Linked DNA regions of Mytilus edulis. The protein of the gene in region 1 interacts with the protein of each later gene in a pairwise test. Links are inferred from orthologs where the notes say so. Each region holds a gene or a part of one and is shown in the gene's direction. Other genes may lie near its edges. The genes, in order: huntingtin-like, nucleoporin p58/p45-like, tetratricopeptide repeat protein 23-like and transcription elongation regulator 1-like.

Region 1 (7,137 bases):
CATAAGTGTTTTGTTATGAATAGTATTATTGTTTTTCAAAGTTTTTTGAAGTTGTTGCATGGGAGATATTGAAAAAAAAAAATCAAATTTGGTAGTTTTCTTTCAATTTTTCTTTAAACATAAATTCATAGATCTAACATAGTTAAACTGGAATTGCTGATTTGAAATTTATGAAAGTATTATCATGTGCAATAAGAAGACAATATATAATAAGCTAACATTTTGGCATCTTCAATTTATTTCAAAGTGCTGCTTAATTTTGTGATCCTTCAGATAATCATTGTGCAATGATATTGAAGTTCAGAATGGTTCATTTTTTGCCTGTGAATGGTTATATATGTAAAAAGTTATTTATAAATATGGTCATTATTTATTAGAATTATATTTTCAAAATGTTTACTTTTACAAATTTTTCCTAATATGAAAGTGATATTTATACTACAGAAGCTTGAAAATCTTATGATTGATGTTTATAATCATGTTTTTTTCAATAGAAAAAGATTGCTTGATATCATAAATGTTATATTTGTAATACTGATTCATGACTTTAATAGTTTTAAGGGGGCCATTGAATTTGAGGCCATGGGAAGGGATCTGTCAATTTTTAAGATATAATACTTACACATTTTAATTTAAGATTTAATTTAATATAAATGTTATTGGGATTTTTAGTTTCAAAACTTACTCAGACATTCAATTTTCATTTTATTTTTGGGGAACATAATCAGACAATTATCCTGTAGTGGGAAAACCCCTCTTAATGTGAGGGTGAATGTACACATACAATTTTTAGATGTTATATAATTATCATTATTCCACATTCCTGTTTATTTTGAAGTTTTTTCTTACTGAAAAGGAAGCTTTAAAAGGAGCATTGGAAGAACAATCATTGTGATGTAATTCTGGTCAACGTTTTTACTTTTTTGTACTTTTTCTATTATTGAATTAGTCTTTCATCTGACAATGTGTATTTATATGTGTTTGACCCAAAAAAAGCTATATATGAGATTGTCTGTATAAATACCTTTATAATTTAATGTACATTGGAAAGCTATCATAGCTTCATCTTAAATTTGTTGAAATTAATGTGTATGAATGATTGAAATTGAGAAATGAATCCTCTGATGAATTCATAAATTTGTATAATTTTCTTACAATTGAAGGGAAAAGACTTTTTTCTATGATTTAAACAAATTTTGATTTTATACAGCTGAATTATAAAGTTTAAAGCATTTTCAAGGGCATGCTATCTTTCTTATTTTTCATGAAAAAACTTCAAATTTACTACTGAACTTTGTCTAAAGCTGCCTTCTTAAAGATATATAAATAAGTGTAAGGCTGTATTAAGGTATGTTTTTTTGATTATTATTAAATAATGATTATTATAGTGTTATTGTAATACTAAAAAATCTGTGTTATTGTTAATGATCAAATTGTTTTTTTTTTCTGCATTTGACAACATAATAAATGAAAGATCATAGCTAATATTTGTCTTCATTTCTATACATGCACCTCACAGCGCTATTCAGTGACGTGAGAGTCATATAATTATAACAGCTGCAAGTTTTTGGTTTAATCCTTTGTATGGTAATTTATTTTTCATCTCTACAATTTTAACACAATATAAAAAAAAGATGTGGTATGATTTCCAAAGAGACAACTCTTCACAAGAGACCAAATGACACAGAAGCTCACTACACTGTCCACTTGTTAGCTCAAATTTTACATGGAACAAAGTTGTGAACAAATGGAGAGTTTAAATGATGTGCTGTTTGTAATAGGTCATTCTAACAATTTGACCTGCTGCTCAATACTGACAGGGGCGGATCCAGCCATTTAAAAAAAAAGGGGGGGGGGTCCCAACCCAGGATAAAGGGGGGTTCCAACTATATGTCCCCATTCAAATGCATTGATCGGCCAAAAAAAAAGGGGGGGGGTTCCAACCCCTGGAACCCCCCCTCTGGATCCGCCACTGACTGAACACTTGATTCTGTGGACCTAGAAATTTATTCTTGCAATATTCTTGTTCCCACAGCAGATCTTAATCTTGAGAAAGTAGATATCATATACCCTGTAAGCAATCATATTCAGTTGAGACTTTAAATAGGCACATACAATGTTCTTAAAAATAACTTTTTATGCAAGATTGCTGGAATGTGTATGAAGGGTGATGCCCAGTAATAAATATGAATGAATGGGCTTAACTTCAATGAAACAGCAACACAACACAAAAAACAACACAAAATGTTCTGGTCTTACAAGATAAATTGGTGTCAATACACTCTAAATCCACCCCAAGGTAAATACAGATTAGGAATAACAGATGCTATCAAACTGTTTCCAACATCTTATTCTCTAAAATGAAAAACACACTTTATGATGTGAAAAAAATACTGCTAACAAGGTTCCTCACTTTTGAAAGGCTCATTATAATGCCATAAAAATATGTAGCTTATCTTGCCCAAGAGGTCAAGCGAGCTATTGCCATCAATTGTAGTAATTTAAAAAAAAAAATCCCCTCTTAAAATACTGGGCCAAACATTACTTTAGCCCTAGGATTACAATGTTCTATAATAGAGTGACATGGGCACAGCCATTTTGGAAGAACAACACATAGAGATAAAATAAGCTACATGTGATTAGTAATTATATCATTTGCATATCTTTCTTCATGAAAGCATTATGAGAAAAGCTTCATGCAAGCACAACATTATCTTCAGAAGTATATTATTAAACCTTGCTGTGAAGGAGGTTGTACACTGTTTTTCCCCTTTCTGTATGTCTGCCCATCCCTCCCATGAATATCTGTTACAGATTTCTCATGATCTACAGATTAGAGCATCCTGAAATTTGCTATCAGGCTTCATATGAACATGTCAATGTGACCTACCGAATAAGACTATTTACCGGATTTGTAATAACATAAGCAACACGACGGGTGCTACATGTGGAGCAGGATCTGCTTACCCTTCCGGAGCACCTGTTTTTGGTTGGGTTCATGGTGCTTAGTCTTTAGTTTTCTATGTTGTGTCTGTTTGTCTTTTTATTTTCAGCCATGGCGTTGTCAGGTTATTTTCTATCTATGAGTTTGACTCTCCCTCTGAAATCTTTCGTCCATCTTTTATGCTATATGATGCAGTGTCTGTTTACACAACAATTTTATATTTAAGATTTTCAACCTGTATTGTTTTGTTGTTGCTAAAACTTAAAAAAAAGAAAGAAACTGTAATTGGCAAAAATGTTCAGCACTTTGCATCAGTCAATATTGCCAAAATTGTCAACCTATTCCTCATACTAGGAATGACAATTTCTTCTGAGGCTTTGGTTTGATATTTCAACCCTCCCTTATTAAATGAAGTCTTGATCAATGGACCAGCAAAAGATACATAAAACTAACCAATAACAATTGAGTGCAGGAAAACCAAATATCTGAAAATAAAATACAGGTAAAAAAATAACACAGAAAATATTTAACAATGTTATACATATCAAAGACATTGAAAATGCCTTGCAGCAATGCCACACACAGTACAGGAATACAAGATCTTTTTCTTTTGAAAAAAACAAACAATAAAATTTTAAAGCAGATTAACCAATACAGACACAATATGAATCTGCAAATTGATGTTCATGGATTCCAAACAAATATCTGAATCATTGAACAACAACTTATTTATAACCTCTATCAAAAAGTCTGTCTTGTCAAAGAGAGTTTAGAAGGACACTTTCTCTACTTGTGTAAGCTTAATAGACAATATATCGGGGAATTTTGATGTAAAAAAATCTATCAAATTCCTGCTTGGTTAAAGCATACTTCAACTATCAATAAATTTGATAAGATTAAGTGAAATTTTTTCAATGAAAATAATCTGTTTATTAAAATCTGAGTAAGTGACATTTGTTAACTAGCAATGATGCTTTTGTAAATGCCATCATGTATAAAATAATACTTGGTAGTATTCTTTCTAAACCATTTCGGTAAGGATAAAATGCTTGTGGCGAACTTAAATCGGGGACGAAACCACATTCAGGACGAACTGAATTTTGGGTCGAAAATACATAGATTAGTGACCGTAAAATTAAACTTCCGGTCTAAGATATTGATCAACCTGACCACTTACTGAAAGAAAAACATAGTGAAAGCTACAATGACAGCAGTTGTTCCTACATTTTCGATAGCCCCAGCCTTTTATCTGACGTTTTGGTGATCCACGTCCGAACAAGAAAGGTTAAATTTTACCCATTTCTTGTCAAGATCAGTAATCATACCAGCCTTATGACCATGATAAATTATTTCACGCACACGGACATATTATATTTTTCCCCAATTGTCGAAACCAAAATGCCATCGTTTGCTCGATTTAACATTGCCAGATGAACCATCATCACTGGATTCTAATTTGCATTGGCAGCAACAGGTGTTGCAAGTGGATAGCCTGAGTTTATCCATACGACCATAGGCATAGCCATGACGAATGCTAGTCAATTCGTTCCAAGTCCGATTCGTTCCAAACCAGTTCGTTCCAGATTTGGACAATTCGTACCAAGTCAATTGTCAATTCGTACCAACTAATTTATTTTATTATTAATCAGACTTAACAATATGTTCCAACTTTTTTATAGTGTGTATGTCCGTAAATCACTGTATTTGTGTAAATCAACCCACTGCACGGCAAAAATCGTCAATTTTTTTTATGTATATTTCATATAATAGATCGTTTTTCAATCAGTCTTAACAATTTGTTCCAACTTTCTTACACTGTCCGTATATCACTGTCTTTGTGTAAATCAACCTATAGTTCACGGCAAAAATCATCAATTTCTTGTCAATTTTTATGTATCATATTTAATATTTTCATATTAAAAGATCGTTTTTCAGTAATATCTATGGCTTCTTTTTTGCATGTGCGATATGAAATTTCATGATGCGTTTATGGTTCGATTTTAACAAATATTTATGTTGAATTACGCAGATTTATATGTACAATATTTGTTTATTTAGACATAGATTTTTTGGGTTGTCTTTGTTTTTTTCTCCTTTTCTTGTCAACTTTTATCATATTTCGGTATAATCTGAATGTCTTTTCCAATAAAAAAAAATAAGTTTAAGGTTTACATGTTTATTTGATATCATGTCATTGACACATATACTAATAACAAAATATAACAATAACAGTTCAAGTTCATGGATAATTGATCAATAGTCTAAATGACTTGTAGTATTTCAGAAAGTTCATTCTACTGTTCAACGGACGGCACTACGATAAGTGCAACGGATGTCATCAGCTGGGTTACTGTAAGCTGCTGGCTTCTGTAACTGTCCCACAGCTCCATCAGCTTAGACTGTGATCTCTCTGTGGCTGCTCTTTGGTAGCGCGTGAGTTTATGCTCCGACACTAATTGGATCTGCATGGGTAGGTACCTGGCTTCATCACTCAGAACTTTCAGCATCACATACAAGTGAAGGCTGGCACCCTTGGCCTTGCGGTTTAGTCTGTTGTGCCAGCCTTCGACGTCGTTGTTAGTGCGAATGGGTTGGCCAAAAACAGTCCAAGCACTGATGGGGAAGATGGTGCTACCTATCCATTGAAATACAATAATCAATTATAATAATAACGAATTCTTTGAAAATAACACTAGTTAGTACTTTATTCATTTTTAAAATATTAGATTGTCATGAAATACTTAATAATTAATATTTATCAATATATCATACCCAATATACCTTTCTTCCTAATTAATAAATCATAGATTTTTATTAAAACTAAGTATTTATTTACATTATATATATATAAGTACAGCATTATAAATTAAAATAATAAGGCTATGCAAATGGTTAATATTGTTTAATACTGTTGGAACGAACTGACAAGTTTTGGAAAAAGTTGGAACGAATTGTCCAAGCAACTTGGGACAAATTTGTTGGGACGAATCGGAGTTGGAACGAATCATCCAGATACCGCCATGACATAGGCACTTGTTTTCTAGTCCAATTAATTATGATGTCTTGAAAGGTTATTAGATATTTTTTCTTTGACGCGTTACGTCAAAGCAACATTTTTAAAAAGCCTTCCAAGACGTCATAATTATTTTGACTAAGGCACTTGTCTCTGATAAAAAAATTATTTCATTCCACGGTTGTCGTCTACTTCTGCCGGATAATGACCACAATCAACTAACTGAATTTTTTGTACATACAGGCCCCACCCCCTCCCCCCATTTTATTTTAATTTAGTTCAGCTTTGTCACTGAGGCTTTAAAAGCCTTGACTGACGGTGCTGATACAACCCCAGGAGGTAGAGAGTTCCAATCTTGAGGGGATAGGAGGGGTCCTGATCCCGAAATCCCAGACTTAAAAAAACGAAATCCTGAGGTCCCGAATTTAAATAAAGTAAATCCCGAAATCCCAAAAAGGGTCAATCCCGAAATCCCGAGCTTAAAAACACCCAATCCTGGAGTCCCGATAAAGGTCCTATCCCCCCTCAATCTTTGATGTTTAGCGGAAAGAATATTTCCATTAATCACTTGTAGCTGATGGAATTTTGAAGCTTCTGTCATGCATATTTCTTGACAATCATTTAGGTTGCATCAGAAGATCTTCCTTTGTCTCTGCAACTTTTTCATTTACAATTTTGAAGAGCATGGCGAGTCTTGCATCTTTTTGCCTTTTTTCGAGGAATCTCAAATCAAGATAATTAATAATCTTGCTTACACTTGAGTGATTAAGATGTTTGTTCATCACATATAATTTGGGCTGGACCATCTCTAGTCAGTCAATCTCAGTTTTATTGTATGGATCCCATACTGGACTGGCTGTCGAGACTGTGATTGGTCTTGCTAGTGTTTTATAGGCATTTTTCTTTACAGAATTAGATCTGATATTCAAGTTTCATTTTAGGAAGCAGCTTGTTCTTTTGGCTTTGTTGCAGACCTTATTTACATTCCATTTCAGTTGAGATGTGAATGTGCAGCCTAGGTATTTGGCACTTTTGACAGGTTCTAAAGTGTGACAATGTAGTTTGTAGGATGTTGTAATGGTATTGTTTTTCCGGCTGATGATAAAGTACATTGCACTTGTCTGGGTGGAAGGCCATTTTCTATTTGGTTGCCCATGTAGCTAGTTTATCAAGATCTGTT
Region 2 (7,566 bases), on another chromosome or scaffold:
GGGGTCTGGTCCTGAACAAATTTCACCCTTTGTTTCTTTTCTACCTATTACGGTTACGGTGTTGGAACGATAACAATGGTTTTGGGTTTCGGAGGGATTACTCCGAACCGACAAAATATTTCGACTCACAGGGTGAGTTCAGGATAGGTATTCATGACACCGATACAAAGTGTGAATATGAAAGCGACACATCTTACGGTTAACGCGGATAAATTTGTCAAAGTTTGGCGGAACAAAAAGAATAATTAAACTGTCAATTGTTCTTGAACAATTGAGAGGTCTTTCCTTTTTTAATGTAAAATACATGTTCCAACAGACGTAGAATGTATTGAAAAGGTCAAGGTCAACCTTAAAAAGCTCGAAAACACACTAAAAATCCTTTATATAAGGTTAAAAACACTAAATTCGCTATCTGGTACATGACCTTGACCTTTGACCTTTTGACCTTTGTCAAGGTCATTGGTCCCCAATGCCATTACTGAAGACCTTAAGGGTCTAGGACCTTTGGTTATATAGTAAAAGCTGATTTTGTCTTTTCAAAAACCTAAAACAGGGGTTATGCCCCTTATAGAAAGGTCAAATCTCTTTGGTCAAAATGTAACAAAGTTGCGCCATAATGACCCAAACATTTTCCACCATTTAAAACTTCTGTAAGTATAATGGTTTTTGAGATTATCCCATAACAAGGTGTTAGGTCAAAGGTCAAGGTCAACATACAAATATGACCTTGAGGTATTTTTTAAAGATACATGAAATGATGATGATTGGTGAAGATCCTATGTGTCTACGACTTACGGTTTCTGAGTTTTGGTGGCCAACCGACACCGGTTAATTTTCATAGGGGCATAACCCTACCAATGAGTCGTTGAATCTTTTCGATCCAAATGTAACGAAGAACCGGGGTCTGGTCCTGAACAAATTTCACCCTTCATTTTTTTTCTACCTATTACGGTTACGGTGTTGGAACGATAACAAGGTTTTTGGGTTTCGGAGGGATTACTCCGAACCGACAAAATATTTCGACTCACAGGGTGAGTTCCGGATAGGTATTCATGACACCGATACAAAGTGTGAACATGAAAGCGACACGTCTTACGGTTACGGAGGGAAATTTTGTCAAAGTTTGGCGGAACAAGAAGAATAATAATCAGAAGAAATACAGTAAGGTCTTTCCCTTTAGTAAAAGGAAAGACCTTAATAATAGTCAGAAGAAATACAGTAAGGTCTTTCCCTTTAGTAAAAGGAAAGACCTTAATTAAAAAGTTATACAATGAAACATACTGACCTTGCAATGATTTTCTCGATAACACCTGATTAACAGACTTTAGCCAACCCGATTAACAGACCAACCGCCGATATAGCCGCATACTCAATATAGATTAACCGACCAAACTCTCGGTTAGCCGAGTGTCGGCCGTGAACAGGGACTTGTAATAAAGTCCATGTTGACAACGAGGGTCGATCGAGAACAAATATTTACGACTAAAGAGATAGTTTCAGCTTTCTACCACTTGAACTTTCCATTTCTATGTAGCAACATCGCAGCAGCGCTGCCATATGAGTTATCGGTATATATCTGATTCTCCCAGTTGAAACGATAGTCCAGAGCTTACATTTCGTGTTAAATTTTCTTGATAGAGGGTTCCTGTCTGCCCTCAACGAAGCTTTTAAACCAAGAGTTCTAAGTGAAGTTGAAATCATACAGAGTTTCGAAAACTTTAGAACACCATCACACATCCGATCAAAATTATGGAATATCTGAATTACAGATAACAACAGAAATGTTCCAATTGTCATTATAATCTCATCTTATTTTCCTCGAATATAATCTTTGCATTCGTAAATTGCAACCTCAGCTTATCAACAGATTATCAAAAGATTATCGTCATTGCGAGCATTAAAGCCAACGTCCTAAAGTGTGCCTCACTATAAATCAGGACAAAGCTGGGCCAATGATTTTCGTTTATTGTTTTTGTATAAATTAGACTAGAGATTTTCTTCTTAAGAGTTTTTTTTTCGTATGTCATATGTTGAGAGCCTTTTATCGATAACCTTATGTAAACGGGTTTGTATGAGGCGCGGAGTATAAAGTCAAAACTATTTCTATTAGAAAAATGTATGGCTAAATATTTCAAGACATTTTGACATCAATTTTTAAAGGAATTCTTGACATCGTTTCAAAGATATCCCCCTTAAATCGAATTATGGAGGTCCTGAAATATTTAAAGATATCCTAAAATCGAATAGTGAACCTCGTGAATCATTTCTGGAGTTTCATACTGTTGTAGTCTTTTTTCACTGAAATTCTTAATAAAAATGAATGAATGTATTTTACAAATTCCCTGAATTTAATCAGTGAATCTGTAAAAAAGATCTTAATTATTTCAGTGATTTTGTAAAATCATTAGTCAAAATCAGGGATTTTATAAAATCATTAATCAGTTCAGTGATTTTACAAATTCCCTGAAATTTCAGGGATTTTACAAAATCACTGATTTCACAAATTCCCTGTAACATATACATACATCAATTTTGATTAAAACCGTCCCTCAAGTCTCATAGTTTTGCTCATTGATATGAAGCTAGGGACATCTTATATATGTTATAAGTTGTTAAACATTCTTTGTTTTAGATAAATCAGGTGCTTTTTGTGGTCCTTTTGAAGTTTCGATTAGTTGACAGTTTTTACTTTTCAACTCTTTCCACTACACTTCCACACAATCTTATCAAACAAAGGTTTTCCTATTTAGTTACAAATATATTTGCTTCAACTCAGCAAAATGAATTGAGTGTGTAGGTAAAGATAATATCATTGGTTATATATATATTGTGTGCTTGCTAGCTGAGCCGTGAAGTCCGTGGCATTATTAGGTTATGTATACTACCCTCCTTTATGATTAGTCTAGTCCGACAGGTAACTAATATATCTGTCTGTAAGACTAGACTACTCCGAAAGGAGCTAGGCAGAATACTATAGTAGCTAACTTTATAATAAGTTTACGGTTCAGTTAACAAGCAAGCTAGCCAAATGTATACCCTTTACCTACACACTCAAATCATTTTGCTGTAAAGCCTTCTTTTCTTTGCATTTTTGCACCTGTCCCAATTTAGGAGCCTCTGTTAGTCTTAGTTCATTTATATGTTTTGGAGTTTAGTGTGACGTCCATTTTCACTGACCTAGTATGCACAATTTTATTTAGGGGCTAGATGAGGATTACCTCCGAGTGCGGTATTTTCTTGCTGCGTTTAAGACCCATTGGTTGCCTTCGGCTGATGTCTGCTCTTTGGTCGGGTCGTTGTCTCTGATATTAACCCATTTCCATTCTCAATTTTATTCCCTAATGAGAAAGGTAAATATGTTAGATATACTTATTGGGTGTGTGATTAGATTGTAGCTGACAATTTTTCCATGCAAATATTAATGTACGTTTCGGCATCAAAGGTTACATATCGACGAGTTGGTAGGTATTCCTATGGGGACCAATGGCGCCCCTAATATCAGACTTGTACTGCCATGAATCACAGTTTATGACCAGTCTAACTTGCATTTAATTGATATATATTCAACAACACTTACGGTTATCTTGATGTGTTTTCTAAATATACGGCTGAAATTTACCCAAAGGAAATAACTTTCACTTGAAATAAATAAAATATAAACGGTTAAAACTGTCCTTACCTGGATTTTAGATATGTTCGTTCTACACGGGAAACTATACACTAAAATTTACGACAAGAGGGATGATTTTTTTGGGTCCTTTTTGTCAACTTTCATTGACAATTCTTCCATAAAATGCAAGCAATTTTTTTTCAATATAGAAATAATTTAAAAAAGAATTTACGGAAACTACTAAATACAATACAATACACAATACAATACAATACAATACAATACAATACAATACAATGCAATACAATACAATGCAATGCAATGCAATGCAATACAATGCAATGCATTAATGCAATGCAATGCAATGCAATGCAATGCAATGCAATGCAATACAATACAATACAATACAATACAATACAATACAATACAATACAATACAATACAATACAATACAATACAATACAATACAATACAATACAATACAATACAATACAATACAATACAATACAATACAATACAATACAATACAATACAATACAATACAATACAATACAATACAATACAATACAATACAATACATGCTAAACATGAAAAAGACAAACAGACAAACAATAGTACACATGACACAACATATAAAACTAAAGAATAAGCAACACGAACTCCACCATAAACTGGGGGTGATCTCAGGTGTAAAATGTATTCTGTATTCTGTAAAATGTTGCACAATATTCCGGAAAAGTATCCCAACTTATCCTGGTTTCATCTAATATTACTATTGTTACTAGTTCCCTGTCCAAAATTTTCAATAATACCTTGCTCAACGAAAGTGTCGATTAATTAAGGAATCAGTCGACAGAATTTCGAAAGGCATGAGATGAGAAAAATAATATAATTTTGGTGGGAAATTCTGTAGTGATTGTATGATCTGAAGATATTAGAAATATATAAGAAGTTATATATATGCAGTCCATATCTTTGCAACCTAAATAATTGGAAAGTTTACTTGTGTATGTACATGTAGTTCGTGCTAGCAAAAATTTATCCAGCTTTCGTTTTTAGCTGTGCAACTTTTACAGGCACTTGTTTCTATCCATAAATTTGGAAGACCCACTACCAACGTATATTTAGCGAGTAAATCACAACTTTCCCGAGATTGTATAAGGAAACAATTGAATGATAATATAATTTCTGTGTATAGTATTTTGGTAATGTCTGGCATGTAAATAAGTTCTGTCCATGCACTTACATTTATCTCTGGGTAGATCACAAGATCTGTTGCTGTGTTTAAAAGAAAAGAATCCTTACACCTCTGGAGCACCCAACATCATACCCCGCCCCTGTGTTCATGGTGTTTGGTTGGATTTGTGTTGTCCAGTCTTTAGTTTTCTGTGAACTGTTGTATCTCTTTGTTGTTTTTCATTTTATGTCATGGCATTGTCAGTTTGTTTACTACTTTGAGTTTGAATGCACATTTCAGTATCTTCAACATCTCTTACAAATGAAACAACAATCAGAAATTAACTTTTTTCGTTCTCCTTAATTATTAATAAAAATATTTAATTCTTCAAACTAGACAAAGTTTGGGATAAGAATATTATATTTAATTACATGAGATGAAAAATCATGTACATGTATACATGAAATTTTATCTGCAAATTTGACAATTTTAGAAAACTAATACACCTTATCACTTTTCAGAATGACCATAAAATCTGTCTTGCTTGAACTATTGACATCTTACAACAATCACTTTTCCATTGTGGCGTCAGATATTTTGTATTAGCCTAGCACGTCAAAATTTTACGTGAACCAGAGGGATGTCCGGTATTGGAGGACAAATAGCGATAAGGTGTATTTGAATCCATAACTTCGAACAACTGAATAGATTTCGATGTAACATTCAAATAGTTATACATGTCACATGAATAAAATTATTTTTATATTTATCTGATTTTTTTTTTGGTGGTTTCCCATTGCATATCATGCATATTGTGGAATTTGAATTAGCAGGCACAGAAGAATGATCAAAATTGTAGTATGAATTATGAGCTCTGCTTTCAGTTTTTGTCTCACCTGGAACAGAAATAGAAACCTTAAAGTGAGGATTACAATTAGACAGTGAGGACAGCATACACTATAAACCTTCATGTCTTGTATGCAGATGCCTTATGTTACAAAGTTTGTGTATATATCCTATGTCCTTGACCTCATTTTCATTGTTAAGTGACTGTCATGTGAATTTCTTACTTATCATGAGTAAAAGGAAAACTATATTTGGTATGGTTTCCTTGCAAGGTCTACATGTCAGTTAGTCCACCTGCCCCCTTCTTTATTCAACCCCTCAAATATCAAATTAAGTTTTTCGTGGTCACATCCATATCCCAATCAGATACTGTAAGCAATAGATCAGCAAATTTTATATGGAATGATTGTAAAACATGTCTGACTGGCAGGTTTCATTTGACCTTGACCTCATTTTAATGCTTCTTTAGTCTATGTTATTTTTTATGATTTGGTTTATTTACTAGAAACTACATTTATAAGCTATTATATATCACCTATATTTAGTATAGATAATGATTGAATAATTGTAAGGTGTATACTGTATGTTCAACTGACAGGGTTCATTTGACCGTGACCTCATTTTTATGGTGCATGCCATTGCACTCAAAGCTAGGTCTTGTATTTTGGTCTGTTTTTTTCAAGTACTATACTCAATAGGACACCAATATTTGGTTATATTTTAATTGATTGTCAGGTGTACATATCTGTCATAGAGAGTTCACCTGACCTTGACCTTAGTTTCATGGTTCATTAGTCAACTGCATTTGGTGTATAGAAGGATTGCATGGTGAACATGGTGTCTGGTACGTTTCATCTGACCTTGATCTCATTTCCATTTGTAATGTTCATGCAAAACTTTTATAAATTCGTTCAATATCAATTCGTTTGTGATAAGTAAAACAGGCTAGATATTGCAGCATTGTTCACTCTTGTTCTTGTTTTTTTAAAGAGGTCTGAAAGAAGTTTGACTTTAGTATTAACATGATTAACATTCATGTCATTAGCCATTAATTAAATGAGTGACTAACAGTTGTATATGCATGCAATGAGAAGATGAGAAACATTAATGTTGAAAATATAATGTTGTCTTTATTACAGGTAAATTCCAGACATGGCTAACCAACCAGGTATATTATTTTAATATTATTTAAAAAAAGAAATATACTGGTAAAATATTTTTGACATGACAAAGAATTGAAAAGTCATAAACATGATATTGCTGAAAAAAATAAGTACATTGTATCTGACAGTGTGAAAACTACAAAAGTTGCTTCAGTTTTTGTCTCGATAAATTCATTGACAAAGTCAGACTAAAGTTGCTGTTTCCAGCATCATCGGCAATGTGTTAGTTTGAAGTTTAATCATGTTGATTTTAATTGTCAGAATTGTGAAATCGCCATTACCAAAAATGACTAGTCCTTGAATTCATTAGAAAAATTCTTATTGAGAATTCGAACCCCATTTCCTTAAAATGTATTATTAATAGTAAAATAGGAAAAGAAAATATGGTATGATTGACAATGAAACAGCTCTTCAAAATAGACCAAATTTAAATGAAACAGGAATGATCAACTGCATGTCTAGGTCAATGTTTTGTCCAGTTCAATTTAACTAAAACGAAAGCCTATGATGTAGGGTTCAGACTCTACGAAACAATTGTATATCAAGTTAGTGTGATGAATTCTTTTCGTGGACAAGGGAGTCACAAATTAAAATTATAAAAGAAATATGATGTTATAGAATACTGTGGATTTATTATTATTTGTTGGATACCAATTTTCGTGGGTTTCATTGGTACAGGTGAACCATCAATTTAAATGTTAAACCAATAACATATTTTCAATAGGCTTTATATACAGAGATTGGCAAAACCACAAAACTAAATATCCACG
Region 3 (7,876 bases), on another chromosome or scaffold:
GTGGCCACATTTTCTAGAAGTATGTCATCTGCAAACATTTCACTGATCATTTAAATGCATATTGTACAACACCTGAATCTTAAATAACCAATTGATCCAACTTTAATTTTAGTTCTTTAATATGTTTATGAGTTTAGTGTGACTTGAACTTTTCACTGAAAATTTGTGTTAAGCATGTTTAGGGGCCACCTAAGGCCCACCTCCATGTATGGAATTTTCTCACTGTATTGAAGACAGATTAGTGGCCATAGGCTATTTTTTGTTCCTTTGTCGGGTTGTTGTCTCGCAGACACATTCCTCAATATTATTTTAGAATATACATATTTTCAAATATATAAGTTTCAAATTCCTTGTATTATTTTTTTTACAATTAAAAATATATATAAAAGTGTAAATAAAAATATGATATTACAGATAAAGTTAATCTTAAATAATAATTTTACCATCTCCATATTTTGACGAGATCATCTATTCCCCCTGTTATAATGTTCTCAGATCCATCTGTTTCATTTTTCTTCCAAGCACAACTCCAAATACTGTCTTCATGTGCTATAAAATAACAAAATTATTATAAGCATCATTGAAGGTGGTTACGGTGGTACCCAACACTTTGACTGTTATTAATTTGGTTCATTTAATTTTCATAAAGTGTTGACAAAATGTTAACTTTGACCCCTTGACAAAAATATAAAAATTTTAAAAAATTTGAACTAACCACTTTATCAGAAAAAAATCAGTTTATGTAGCAGTTTGACAAACACTATTTTTCATCACTGAGAAGCTTAATATTTCCTTAACCAGGTTAACAATAAAATGTTGAACTCATTTTTACTGAGTTATCTCCCTGTAGTGTTAGGTACCATCTTAAATTCAATTGTTAACATTTACCATGATTTTTGTCAGATAATTGGAATCCTTTGGTTTTATCCATTTTGTTCCATTACAAACTTTGTCTGCTAAAACCTACTTCTCGTTTCTTTACTTTATAGCATATATCACGACGTATATACTTAGTTTAAAATCTTATAAAATCCTTGTGTTCTTTTCATACAGTTTTTTGAAAGAGAAAAGGTGTTTTAAAATTAAATGAATGATAATACTAGAGATAATCATTTTCCACCAACTTTTCATGGCTTACATGTATATCTTAAAAATATGCATACAGACCTTAATTTTTTTCTGTTTTTTAGTTCTGATTTATATATTTGTGTTGCTTAATCTTCAGTTTTCTATTTTGTGTCTTGTGTAGTGTGTACTAACTACTTATCTGTTTGCCTTTTTTCTTTATTAGCCATGGCGTTGTCAGTTTATTTTTGATTTATGAGTTTGACTGTCTCTTTGGTATCTTTCGACGCTCTTTTATCATGTTTATAAATATATATGTACTCAGATTTTATAGAAGTCTTTTGAAACATTGTACTTAATGAAATTCATTAGTGATAGAAAGTTATATCTGATTTGTGAATTAACAATGATTAAACTCACCTTGTTCCTGTTTGAATATCAGGGAATACTACAAAGATTAAAAATAATTAGGTTAACAGGAAATATTATTTTATCATGTTTTTAGGTCAAATGTCATGTGCTCAATTTTGTTTAAATATCCAACTTTTGATGGTTGGTGTGAATGCCAGTGAAAAACCAGAGAGCTACGTTTTAAATTGTTACAGTAAACATGGTAAAATATAAATCAACACAAATTTATCTAATTCATTCAAGGTAATGTTATTAATCTTGAGCCTATTAAACCTGCTGTATATTTTATAATACTTAAGTCTTTTGTTGGTGTGGTTCATAGGTGTTTTGCTTTCCTTGTTCTGTATATAGATAAGACAGCTGGTTTTGTGTTGACATTGTTTTACAGTCAACGACAGTGGTCATTTTGGTGACCTTTATAGCTTTCTGTTTATTGTATATATATATGCATGATATGTGAGCATAAGTGTTTTGTTCAACATGTTCAAACTTCAAGGTAGTAGTTTGACCTGTAATTTTTAATTTAAAATACATTGGCACTCTAACCACACCTTCTTATTTTTTATCATTACAAAAATGTGGACTTTTTTCAAGTAATCCGAACCATGATTTCTGATTCTAACATGCTAACGGGCTACAAATATATGCTATTCCATCTGCTTTGCTTTGTTATATTTCATTGCATTTCGGTATATTTTGTTTTGATTCCATTTCTCACTTTATAAATATCGGGAAAAATCATCTAAACATTTTAACATGTTTAATAAAATAAAAAAATCTCTTTCAACATGTTCAAAGACCAAATGAAAAAAAAAGAGTTTGGCTTTATGACTTTGCAGGTAGGCGTCAAAGCAAATATTAAAATAGTCTTTATTACAAGACGTCATAATTATTTGGACTAGTAAACTAGGGTATTAAAACTTGTGGAACTCATGTACACAATGACATTGTCAATGTGCTGAAAACGCTTTTAAAAAAAAAACTTTAATAGGCCAGTTCCCGGGATACAGTTTTCAGACGAATCTGTCATGTGACTTTCATCACCACCTGACAAAAATGTATGCATAGAAATTTCCAGCACATGTTGAGCAAACGGGTGAAAAAGTCTTATTTTATATTGCACAAAATATTTGGGAAATTAAAATCTAAAAGGATGGTCACCCTCACTCAATCCTATGGCAATCACGATTTATATGTACTTACAGAACATTAATTATTTCTATACTACCCTACAGAATGACGATTATGAAAGTGCTGGAAACTTTTTATAGACAGGGATGCAGGCGCGCCTTCTATCTGCAGACTACGCGAATGAATTTTATTTTTACAGGACATTCGGTCTGGTAAGCATCCTAGCTTTACCAGACCGAATGAAATTTTACCAGACCAATTTTTTTTTACATCTAATTGTATATTATCCGACAAAAAACAACAAACATATGACTTTGTTGTGCCGGCCTACTCCTCACCAAAATGCACAAATTAAAACAAAATGATGTAACAAGAGGGGATATTGTTATGAAAGTTGTGCACAATTGCTTGAATGCATTTCAGTGAAGAGTAATGTCCCATTTTATTGGATTTTGACAATGTTTGTGAACTAAACATAATTTAGAGTTTCTGTATAAAATATTATTTTTTGTTTCTTCTTTCTTTTTCATATATCTTTTGGTTTTCAATTCTTGTGGTTATATTTCATAGCTAAATTTTGTGATCTGCTTGGATTTTTATTCATTTATTGTATTTAAATCGGCAAACCCGGAATTATCCTTATCCGTTCCCAGAATCTGATCCGGTTTTATTTGCATTTCCGGTTGTGCCAATGATGGCATCCATTGTTGTTTTTGACAGTCAGATATGTTTTTACCCGGATTTACACATTACTGGTTGTCGATGTTCGGCATAAAGCTAGCGGTTGAACAAAATAAACATCGCTGTGATGAATAATAAAGATGAAAATGAATTTGAGATTGTTTGGCAATTTTGCTAGAATGTTCCATGAAAAAAAAACACCGGACATTCGGACCGGAATTCAACAAAATTTTACCAGACCGATCCATTATTTACCGGATTTGTCCGACGGTCCAACGTATTTCGTGTAGTCTGTATCTGGTAAATGACGTCATAAAGGCATGCAAAATTGACGATCTTTTCCGGTGGAAGACATGATTCCAGAAATGACCTGTATGTGGGTCTCATTGGGGTTTAAGCATGATATTATTCTAGAGTGATTTTCTGATTTATCAATTACTTTGTTCTTTTTTTATCGTGTTTATTAACAGCCACACCAGCTGTTCTCCACAAATTCATCTAACTCATTATTAGCCTATGTACATAGTTTTAATCACCTTTTTAAAAAAGTTAAATTACGCACCTCAAATTTATTTCCATATATTTTTGTCTTTGTCTTTGTAAATATATATATAGGCCACGCTGCGCGCGCAAACAGTAAATAATCTTCAGATCATTGAAGGACTACTGAAAACCTAAAGAAGAAGAAGCCACTGACACTGTGGATGATGTGGAGCCTGGAGGAGAGAAAAAGAGTAATGACACTATGTCAACAGTAAGGATCTGAGTAACAGTCACTTAACTGATTCATCCGGTGTGTAGTTAAAAGCAATATACGAATGATCTTTAATTGTCTATAATATAAAAGCAATTTCTTTTCCTTACCAACTGATTCGCCATCCCGTTGCCGGTGGCTGTGTAGTCAATAGAATGTTTTGTTTCCCATTCGGTTTTACTGTTAGATTAAACGCGCACCTGTCTAAGATAAAAATTTATAGTCTCTAACAAAATATTGTTTTGTTAAATTCTTGATTTGATCTGTTAAATTACATTTATATAACAGTTATTACTATAAAATTATTATTAAATAAAATATGATATATTTCTCTTTAAAAATATATACATCTATAAAATATTTATAAATTTTTTAATTTGGTTTCAAGACTGTTTACAAATGGCGACCGTAGATGTAAACAAATCAACAAAACTATAGACATAAACCTTTTTTTTCTGTCCAATACATTATATTGTACGTTATCGTTTACAATCATTAGTATTCATACACAAGTAGCACTTTATTCAGGAACAATTATCATTAATAGTTTCCTTTGACCAGATGTCGATTTAACCAGGGTCCGATTTGACTATAGCTAGCTTTGTGTATTTTACTATTTAACCCCTTCTACACTAGAAATACACGCAGCACGTTCTAGTTCGGCTCTGTTATGAATACGGGATCTGCTCAGACTCCTGTCGTCCTGAGTCCCGTACAATTAATCAAGATACCTTGGCACCAATAAAATGGGTGCCAGGCAATTCAGCATCAGCAAAAGACCTCATGGGCTAAATACCAGAGAAAGACAATTTGGTATCAAGACAAATCGGCACCGCATAACACTTCTGTTAGTCCGAGATTACTCTGAAGTCCAACAGACAAGATGGGCCTTGGAAGTCGGGCCTGTCCCATATTTTATCAAAAAGTGGATATTCGCACATCCAACATAGATGTGCTGCTTCATCGCTTCTGGTCCCGGCTAAAGGACTTGGAATTATATTATTATAAATCAAGTATCAATTTGTTCATTCTTCAGTTATCTCTTCGTTTATGTAAGTTTCATCTTCCTACCAACCTTTATTTTCTCATATTTAGACAGTTCTCACAGCAACCCATCGATTCAGACATTTTTACTTTTATTTTCAAATGGATGTCAAGTGATGAGAGACTTCACTGTCTCAAGACTGAAGTATGCAAATATTTATGCTAATTTTGGTATTCTGTATATTTCTTCACCCCCTTTATAGGAGATCGGTATTAAACACTTATAGTAGCCAACATTGATAACAATTGGAAGAACTCGGACATTTACCTTACTTGCATTGTAAATGAACGAGGTGTCAGATTATGTACATGTATTCATATCAACCTAGGGTCAATTGCATAAATCAGCTCCCATAACCCATTGTTCCTTACTTTTTCTCTTTAATCACATGACAATCTTTCAAAATGAAAGTTAAAATGCCTGAATCGATGGGTCACTGTAAAAACTGTCTAAATACACGTATGAGAAAATAAAGGGTGGCAGGTAGAAGAAATATTCATAAATGAAGAAGGAACAAATTGATACCTGATTTATATAATTCCAAGTTGGTTAGTCGGCACCAAAAGTGATGAAGCAGCGCCTCTACTTTGGACGGGCAAATATCCACTTTTTAATATGGGACGAGTTCTGACGTCCCCAAGCCCAGCTTGTCTGGCCAAATATAGCATTTGGACATCAGAGTAATCTTGGATTACACTTCGGTTTATATTCCACTATGAGGGTCGTAATGACCTTCATGACAAATGATGGTTTAAAATTTTTATAATACTAATAGTTGGTATCAGCTATTGAAGGGACAACCAACTTGCTATTATTACCAGTCTTTAGGTGTTTTATTATACAAAATAAATAAACTTTCTAAAATTCAACGTTCATAATCTAAAAGAAAACTAAAATGTCAAATAAACATGCCCAAAATTAACTATAATTTATTTTTAAAGTCTGTGTTGCATTTGTAAATATTTCATTTACTACAATCAAGACTAGGAATACTTGAGTTAAGATTTCTGTGCAGCTCATAAATTGTAGCTAAATAAGGCTAAAGTACATCAAACACAACAGTTTATAAAGACGTCGACAAACCCATATACATTTATTATATTTTAGATCTTTTAAAAATGTGTCCCGAAGATTTTCTTTCTCTTTTAAATTTGCTTCTGGTTAGTAATATCATGAATATGTTAATTTGAAATTACGACAGACACAAGCAGCAGTCAGTACCCCTGACTGAACAGATTATACCATTTACGATATATTAGAGTTTGACATTGCCAAGCGTACAAACCCATGCAGAATAGTTTATGACATCATTATTGTCCAATGAAAAATAAGTAAGGGAAATATAATTATAAAACTATTAACCAGGGTAATAGTTTTTGAAACCATTGACTAGCAAATAGTCTATGGAATGAAATAACACATCTTTTTCATTCTTTTTTATATAAACATACTGATCGACAATGATCGAGGTACATGTATAATAATAATTTTTGTTGCATGACAATAAAATGTACACTTTCTTTTTAAGACAATGTTCATTATGTGAGAACTCTGACAATATATATCTCAATACTAAAAAAGGATAATCTGATGAATCACATTAAATTTTGTAACTATTTGCCGAAATTGACCGTTTGTTCCTACAAAAAAGCACAGATTTTAGTAGCCCACACCATTTTTTAGGGAATATTGGCTAAAGGGTTCCTGCTTATTTCAAACCCTTCCTTCTCCTTTTAATTTCTAACTAAATATTAATTTGGAAATTTTAGAAAGTTAATTAGCAACATGCATTCAGAAGATTCTGATGACGATATGAATGTAGGAGCTCCCATGATGGTGGAGGTCAAAGGTCATAGTAGAACACCACGGCAACATTCACAAAGGTCACTTCACAGAGATTCAGATTCAGATGAAGAGAACAGGTGAGTGCATGTATCTAAAATTAGTAATTTAGATAAAAATGTGCAGCACTACAGAATTCATGAATTTAATAAGATTTGGAATGGAAATGGGGAATGTGCCAAAGAGACAACAACCCGACCAAAGAGCAGATAACAGCCGAAGGCAACAAAGGGGTCTTCACTGCAGCTAGAGTATCCTGCACCCTGATGCATGCTTTAGCTATTACAAAAATATATCGATGTAATATATATGCTTAATATCCAAGATGATGTTTCAATTGTCAAGAAAATTACATAACTTTTGTAAGGTGCAGAAATCTAACATCTGTTCTAAAAATATAAATGATGTCATTGAATTTGTTAAAGTCATCTTTTAAGAATTGGAGTTATCTTCCTTTGTCTAGAATTGCTATTAAATCAACTACAACCAATACAATAATTAATTGTACTTCCATATCATCAGCATATGATAAATTGAAACAATCTTTTCCAGTCAGTGCCACCAAGCACTTTGATTAATTTTTACAAATTATTCTCCAGATATGAAGATGACTATGAGGATGATATGACCACAGCTAGATCAGGGAGGACAACAAGTAGAAAGAAAAAGCCTGGGAAGAATGGTCGTCATGGGATAGATATGACACCACCTGACAAACTTCTCAAACAGGCAGTTAAAAGGATTGGAAAATTCAGAGAAAATGAAAAAGTATTAATTATTTTGATTAAATTTCTGCCAAAAAAATGCTTCATTAATATCTACTGTATATTCAGAATGTATTGTGTGCATTTATTATGGCGATTTTATCATTTTAGACTAAGATTTTAAATTTTGCGATATTCAGAAAAATCCTTTTGATACATATAAAAATTTCAGAATGCAAGTTT
Region 4 (8,184 bases), about 41 Mb from region 1:
ATTGTGTCAGTTAAGAGTTATTTTATAGCCACGATAATAGTTTTGCTATCTTTATATTTCCCCACTGAAAAAGTTAAGAATGAGATGTACTTGACTGAGTAAAAAAAAGACGATATGGTGCAACAGTATCCTTCTAGTAAGAGCATTTTTTATTTTGACTTTCTTTGCATTTTATTGAAGGGTGTGTCACTTCAATATAGCGTGATATGGATTGAAAATTATTATTAACATTTTTCAATCAGCCTTAATTTGTGTGTCTGTTCAAAGTAGCACGTTCTACAATCCGACTGAAAGTGTCTTTTTAATACAACACAGGATACATATAACGTGTTGTCGTTCTCATATGCACATGACATTTGTCACTGGACGTTAAACCCTAATTCGTCAGCATCATCCAATTGGTTTTTTTTTCTATTACTAAATCATATGTTGTTTACAAATCATTCTAAAGAAGTAAATGGAAATGAGCGTATGCAGCTACATTTGGTTATCTTAAGTTTTAATTCATTTTATTCCGTTTAGTTCCTTTCTACCTACATAAGTGCAAAGGAGAACTGCAGTTGTCCGCTTGTATACTTCTAGCATTAGTCATCAATTTGAGTACATCGCAATCCGTTACTGTTTCAACACCCAGGGGTGTTTCGTGTCTGTATTCTTAAAGTTTTTATTTGTTCTCTCTTTTTTAGCAATACATTACTCTCTACTGTCCTTATACTCAAAACCGCATACTCAATATAGATTAACCGACCAATCTCTCGGTTAGCCGAGTGCCGGCCGTGAGGTAGTTCTTTTGTTGATCAACAGTATTTCAGTCTTTTTTCTATTGATCTTAACTCGCTCAGCCTCAATTTTTGGTACAACTTTCAACGATGCTGAGTTGAGCTGATGCATCTTGTTCCAATGTTGCACATAGCATGATATCATTTGCGCATGTTGGACAACACAAATAAATGGTTCTGATCTTAAAACCTATTTGTTGCTTCGATAGTATCTAGAAATCTTAGTGTAAGCTCTGTAAATACCTCCCTGTTTACTCGTTTCTAGTTATTGAATTCTTCTGAGATACACCCGTAAGATTTTACTTGGTTTGATGTATTATTATATAGTTCTCTGATCAGTATTCAGGTTGAACCTGTGATTCCTTGGTGAAGTAATTTCGAAAAAGATGTGATCTACGACATGGAAGGCTTTTTTCTGCATCTAGGAGGATTAAAATGAGCCTTTTGTACTTATATCTTTTATCTCATTGATGGCTTCAGCAATTAAAAAGCAAATTTATCGATGAAGCACCTTTTGCAAAACCTTTTTGTCGTCTATTTTGTTGTTTGTTTAAATGCCGTCAGTCCCACCTCTCTGACAGAGTTCTAAAAATTTACAAATGATCGAGATGACTGCAATTCCTCTATAATTTGAAGGCACTGTTGGTCCTTATCTTTTTTATGGACCGGAGATAGACGTCCCATTTTTATAGCATCAGGCACATATTTTGTATATAGAAGATGGTTAATGAGGCAAGTAGTCAATTAAAGCTAAACCTCCGCATGTAAGATGTTCAGGTGATCCTGATTTATTTCCAGGGTTAAAAGCTTTTTTTTTATTACCTGACCGCATGAGCCAATTTTGGTGACCAACTTATCCGTTTTTTCCTGCTTTGATTTCCTCTCACGCTAATAAGCTAACATGTTTCTAGTGCACTGTTCGAACCGGGAAGTAATTGGATTGTAGTTTGGTCAATTCCATAAGGTCTTCTCATGTTTAAATATTTTTTATCCTTTGGTTAGCACTCAATACTTAGTGTATACTATCTTTATTTACCGTTGTTCCCAGTGGATTTTGGTACAAGTATTTTCTCTGTACTGTTTCTGGCAAGTCCTTGTGTCTATATAAAGATTGACAGACACAGGACAATGGTCATAGGTGTTTTGACCTACACTTATGATCCTGAATAAATTTCCTTATAGTCTTGCATCATTCTCAATAGATAAAATTGAAATGGAGTTGGGGAATGTGACAAAGAGACAACAACCCGACCAAAGAGTCTTAGACTAGAGAACAGCCGAAGGTCCGAAATGGGTATTCAATGCAGCGAGAAAATTCCGCACCGAACAAGGCGTTACAGTCCCCGCAACAACAATTGAATTGGTTTCAATGCTCCTAAACTTCTTTCTTTTCTTTTTTTTTGCCGATTAAACTCTTGTTTATATACGAGCGTCACTGAAGGGTCTTTTGTAGATGAAACGCGCGTCTGGCGCAAATACAAAATTTAATTCCTGCCGGTATCTATGCAATCTAATTAAATTGGTATCTATGATGAGTTTATTTCTTGGTACTTAAGGATTTTTTTCTGATAGAGTGTCAAATGGTGCTCTATAAGCATCATGTCTTTTATCCGTACCTCTAGAGGGAAGATGTACACTAATAAGGAAGGTAAGATTTCCGACTTGACATTTCAATAGCTTGTATTCTGTTGTTTGAGAACTTGTTCCCGTCTTGAAGTTGAGAAAAAATTGAAGACATAGATTTTCTGTATATGGTTGCAATACCATGCACTGTGTTTTCTTGGTCTATCAATTGGGGACATTAGTTCAACATCATCGATGTGTATATAGAAAATGAAATAAATAAAGTCTGAGTGATGTTGTTTTAATAGTTCCTTGTCGCAGTTAAAGAGCCAGTGTTCTTGTAAGAGAATGATATCATGTTTATCGAGCAGTTCATTGAGGTATTTTTGAAAGAGAGAATACGCAGTTGACTTGCTTTTCCATAAGTTACATCATTCTTTTCACAGGAGGCCCTTTATCTGGATCTAGAAGAATGGCTTGTCAATGGTCTAAAAAAAAAGGGGGGGTTCCTTTTTAGAGCACTGTGATTATAGTGAATTTGGTGTGGTTAAAATGTAATGGGAAACTCGTCACAGTTTATTGATTTTTTTCGTGTGTGGTTAACAGCAAATAGCATTTACTATCAATACCTGAGACTGATGAGTGAGGGTTTGGATGGGGTTAAATGATTAAAGAATAATGCCCTTAAAAATGAAGATTAGAGAATAACGGGCAAAAAAAAATGAAGATTAGAGAAAAATGGGGTTAATTTGTTTAAGATTAGAGAAAAAAAGGGGTTATTTTTTTTAAAGATTAGAGAAAAAAGGGGTGAAAATTAAATGTTTACAGAATAACAGAACCCCCCCCCCCCCCCCCCATCCCACCCCATCCAGACCCTCATGAGTGAATTGGTGAAATGAACTTTAGATTTTGGACGGTCAAATTTGCATGGTACGCATGAATCTGTAGAATGACGATCACGTATATAGACTGACTAATAGGTGTTTTCTTCAGTTCATAGTTCATTTTCAAATTACCGAATTATATATTTTTTATTTTAGATTTTGTTGCAATGGGTAGGAAAAAGCAAGTTATTGATTTTGGCTAAAGAATTGCAGATTTTGTGTGCCCACGCGACATGTCAGAAATCGAAAGCGCTGAGAGGTTTGATTTTGGAATTAATGAAGATGTGATTTAAAATATAACTTATCATAATCATAAGTAGAAATTCTATTTCGCATTAAATCATGACTGTGATATATTACATTTAATCATTCAAGGTGGTATTAGAGTATAAATAAAAAATTATAGAGTTTGATCATACTTTGCCAAAACATAGTATATATTGTGATATGTTAAAAATATAATAAAACTGATAGTTCACCGTGCATTTTCTCAAGCTACAGGTTGTGAATGACACATTTTGTATGGATTAAAGCCGGAAAAACGTCATTATGTGATTAGAAGATAACTAAATGATACTGAGAGTTGTAAAATAAAATACGAGAAGATAGCTTTTAGCAAATACTTTAATTTAAGGAATATCAATTGAAAAGACAGGGTACGTTTTTTTTTCGCCTGTTATATAAAATAGAAAAATTTCTTGTAGATTCCTTCAGAAAATGCACTTTTTCGGAGTTACTTCCCCCTAAAATGCCTATTTTTGAATACATTAAAAATCAAACGATATAATCTACGCTGGTAAGATATTATTAATTATAAGTTGAAATCTTACACATTTCTTGTTTTAATGAAAATTCACATTAGTTATCTGCACTGATTCCTGTATAAAATTTTGCTAGCTTGATGATTGGTTATTTGCAATCCAAGATGACGAAAAAGGTAAACGGACAGAAAGTCACAAATTTGATAGGACAAAAAGTCACAAATATTTTTTCAACAATTGTTGGAATCAGAGACATATAATACAATTATATAAATATTGTATTATATGTCTCTGTTGGAATATATAAGAGAAATATCTTGAAATATTTACTTTTTAATACATATACTCATATTAAAGTTAATGGAATTTATCATTTTACTTGAAAAATGAAGATTTATTTTATTTTAATCATGCAAAAGACATATTTCTTGGCACCATGAAGCCATTTGAGTGCCAATCTTCTTTGACATTTTGTTTTCTTAACAACTATTTGATCATCTTTGATATTTTTTTGATAAATTTTGCTTACAAAGTTGGTTAATATACAATACATCAAGAAAAATACAAAAATATTTTTGTAAAAATAAGCATTTTTTATTCAAAGAAAATAATCAGAAAAAATGAATTGTGACTTTTTGTCCTGTGACTTTTTGTCTGTGACTTTTTGTCCTGTGACTTTCTGTCCTACATTCGGCGAAAAACAGTCATATTAACTTTTAAAATATGCATTAGCTCTGTCTCTTGATATGATTTGTCTGAGCTGGCATTATAGACGAATTCAACCTAGATTTTAACATCGAGACAATATCGAGAATAGTGTGATTGTGAAGACGGTTCGACTCGTCTTACTAGTTGGTCCGAGATGTCCCAAAATCGTGACAATATTAATATTTTATATTCCAAAGCCGAAGAAGTATTCTAATATGACGTTATTCGAACACTGTCGCTCGTGACTAAAGCCGAAGTAGTATTACTTGGTGTATGATCGAAACGCCTTTAAAAACCGGACGACGACGTAGGATGAAACAAGTTTAGCCTATGTTAGTCTACCAAGTCTGGTACCTACTGGAAAATCGGAACCAGTTAGCCTACAAAAACGCGACCAGACAAGATGGGCGACGATGAACAAAATGAACATGATCATCATGACCATGGGCCTAGAGACAATGGTGATCGTGATTTCAGATCTCACAGAAATCAATATAACGGCCCTCCGCGTGGCAGAGGATATATGAGAGGACCAAGGTACCAAAACTGAAGCATGAAAGCTATGTTCTGTATGGTCGGCCATCTTTGTTGCTAAAAATTGATCCAGTTGCCGGCGTATGGATAATTTTAATTGCCAAACTATTGTCTGCTCCGTAGGCGACAATATTATCATTTAGTCCAATATGAACTTTGAAATTTGATTTGATGTGCGCATCCATGTTGCAACAAATGGAGATAAAAAATTATCAAAAATTTTCACCAAAAATGACATGGACTTCCCCCTTTTGTAAAATTTTCTCTATTTATTATTTACAAAAAGAATAAATCTGCTAACTTTCCTGAACAACTGTCACTATAAGTCAGCCGTTAAAACGCACAATTTTATTAAAATCCACATCATTTGCTGTTTTTTTTTTCTATGGAGACAATCATGCACTGAAGTTCTTTAATTCTTTATACACATGACCAAAATCCTGAAAATTTTAAAGTTTGATTCTGTGTTACACATGCATCCACTTAATATTTGCGCAAGCAACAGATGTTCATACATTTTATAGTTTTGAATTTTACTCCCAAGTACAGGGATCTCCATGGATGAAAATTGAACGATGGAGGAACTTTCACCATCATAAACCGTATCTTCACCGTACAGTGTAGCGCAATCGAAGTATTTCATCCCTCCATATAAGGATAGGTGAACATGCTAATTCATTGCTTATTTAAATTATATTTATTTGAATTTTCATTATAAATTCTAAATAGAAGTATATACATATTTTCAATAATTGCCGTTTTCAACCCTTCAAAGGCCAAGCCCTCATGCCCCCTCCCTTTCCCTTAGTCAAGAACGACCAATAGCTATCACGGAGGTCCCCATGTAGTTTTCTTGCTATTTTTGGTAATTGTTATTTGGGTTAAAAATCATGTGGAGCTTTTTTTTTCACGGACACTGTCAAATTCAGAAGTCATGAACCCATTACCGGTATGGCTGGTTTGCAGCAACGACAAAACGAGTCGTACAGGTTATGTAAAAGTTAAAAAGATTTGTAAAGCAAACGTTGTCAAATGAAAAGGTTTTTATTGACTTTATCTAGCAAATTGATGCTATGCAACATTCATCTTTTGAGTCTGAATAGAAACCGGAAACGCGGATGTATCAATTTGATTGTTAACTACGAAATGAATTCGGAATTACGATACGATATTTCTTTACAAGAAATATTAAAAGTTTTTACTCTTTAACTTTTAAAGTAATTCTATATTATCGTTACAATACAGCAGTACTCGAGTTATTTGCGATGAAATAATAATTACTGTTTTACGTCTTATTTTTTACTTCTTAAAAAGGGGGATGCTGCGTAAGTCAAAATTAAAGCACGTGGTCGACTTGTTAAACTTTGTAACTGGATTATTAATTTATTTATTTAATCCGAATTATCATAAGCATTTGTGGAAACTTAGTTAAATAATTTGACAAATGAATCGTCTATCTTCAGATAATATTCTCCTGTCTGGTTTGTTGATCTACCTGAACAAGCTCGGGTACAAGTGATTAGCGATCTTAATCCGGATATCCCTCAGGCGTTTGAACTTTATTGGATTATACTATAAAAAAAAACAAAACCTGAGGGTTATGTAATTTCATGCATTTAATTATAATTGCTAAAAAAAATGGCGTCAGGCTATAAAAACGATCACAGTTTTGAACGATGGCGGAAGACAATTGAACGATGGCGCGAGTCATTTGACAATGACGCAAGACATTTGAAAGATGGCGCCTTAAACAGGCCATGGAGATCCCTGTTGTAATCTAGTAATAGTATATGTGTTGATCTGAATAGTACAAAATTGAGTCAATAATGTACTATTGTAGCAGATTACTTGAAGTCTGATTAGAACACTTTAACACCTTTTCAAGAATAATATTTTGGCAAGGCAATTAAAAGTATTGGGGTCAGTTAGAGTTAAGATTCAGAAATAATCTTACTCTAAATAGTTCTGATGTGTAGTCTCACTCAAGGTTCTCGTTAAGACGTGTATACTTGTCCTGGACTTGTACAAATCCAGCTGAATGTGTCACTTTTGAAACTTGTGAGTCACTGGGATGTATCCCTTGAGTCCCTAACACATTGTTTTACAAAAAATATTTGTGATTGTCGCCATTGTTTTGACAGGAAACTAAACTGGAATTTGATGTTGAAAAATCTATGTTATGTCTAGATCAGTATTTTTGTTGACTGAGAACTTTTTTTTTAATGACGTCTTTATTCTTAAAATATGATAATTCTGTTCATTGTAATTAATAAAAAATGAATGTCTTTCAGAGGACCACCACCATTTAGAGGTCCACCAGGACCAGGAGGTCCTCCAAGAGGATACAGGGGGCCACCACCACCTGGCATGAGAGGCCCACCACCACCTGGAATGAGAGGTCCCCCACCACCTGGAATGAGGGGTCCACCCCCACCAGGAATGCGAGGCCCACCTCCATTTGGAAGACCTCCATTTGATCCAAATTATGGACCTCATCCAGGAGGGCCTGGTGGACCACCACCTCAGAATTATCAGGGTATGCCTCCTCCTCCAGGAATGCCACCACCTCCAGGGATGCCACCACCACCTGGTATGCAAGGAATGGTAAGTTTTCCAAAAAGTCCCTCAGAGTAAACTTGAATGTTGGCCAGACTGTAACGGTAATGTTAATTTCTTTTTAAAAACTCAAGTTAACAGAAATTATAACATTAAAAATCAAGAATAATGAACATGATGAAAGAATTTGCAATTGATAAATTCAGTAAAACCCTTGAAAATATTTGTGTTTTTTCAATTCATTAGCGACCACCTATGATGCCTCCTCCTGGGATGCCACCAGGCATGCCTCCACCAAACTTTGCCATGCCACCACCAGGTTACAGTATTCCTCCTCCAGGGCAGATGCAACCTGGAGTACCCAATATGGATGGAAATCAAGAATTATGGGTGGAAACT

What was found.
Region 2: the proteins of huntingtin-like (region 1) and nucleoporin p58/p45-like interact in binary tests that used the Homo sapiens proteins (3 or more experiments, as listed by UniProt). The link is inferred for Mytilus edulis from reciprocal best matches to the Homo sapiens genes HTT and NUP58.
Region 3: the proteins of huntingtin-like (region 1) and tetratricopeptide repeat protein 23-like interact in binary tests that used the Homo sapiens proteins (3 or more experiments, as listed by UniProt). The link is inferred for Mytilus edulis from reciprocal best matches to the Homo sapiens genes HTT and TTC23.
Region 4: the proteins of huntingtin-like (region 1) and transcription elongation regulator 1-like interact in binary tests that used the Homo sapiens proteins (3 or more experiments, as listed by UniProt). The link is inferred for Mytilus edulis from reciprocal best matches to the Homo sapiens genes HTT and TCERG1.

The regions. Positions count from the first base shown.
Region 1 is NC_092347.1:34,306,292-34,313,428, reverse strand, and holds the start of huntingtin-like, read left to right. Parts: upstream 1-4,066; 5' UTR 4,067-4,228; intron 4,229-7,137. Other genes in the region: peptide-N(4)-(N-acetyl-beta-glucosaminyl)asparagine amidase-like, read left to right, coding at 1-5.
Region 2 is NC_092351.1:34,502,819-34,510,384, forward strand, and holds the start of nucleoporin p58/p45-like, read left to right. Parts: upstream 1-4,399; 5' UTR 4,400-4,617; intron 4,618-6,772; 5' UTR 6,773-6,785; coding exon 6,786-6,801; intron 6,802-7,566. UniProt on the Homo sapiens protein: Component of the nuclear pore complex, a complex required for the trafficking across the nuclear membrane.
Region 3 is NC_092354.1:39,864,221-39,872,096, reverse strand, and holds the start of tetratricopeptide repeat protein 23-like, read left to right. Parts: upstream 1-4,771; 5' UTR 4,772-4,788; coding exon 4,789-4,889; intron 4,890-6,856; coding exon 6,857-7,009; intron 7,010-7,528; coding exon 7,529-7,697; intron 7,698-7,876. Other genes in the region: superkiller complex protein 8-like, read right to left, coding at 444-549, 1,486-1,513, 4,153-4,167. UniProt on the Homo sapiens protein: Participates positively in the ciliary Hedgehog (Hh) signaling.
Region 4 is NC_092347.1:74,834,834-74,843,017, reverse strand, and holds the start of transcription elongation regulator 1-like, read left to right. Parts: upstream 1-5,035; 5' UTR 5,036-5,098; coding exon 5,099-5,232; intron 5,233-7,520; coding exon 7,521-7,833; intron 7,834-8,031; coding exon 8,032-8,184. UniProt on the Homo sapiens protein: Transcription factor that binds RNA polymerase II and inhibits the elongation of transcripts from target promoters. Regulates transcription elongation in a TATA box-dependent manner.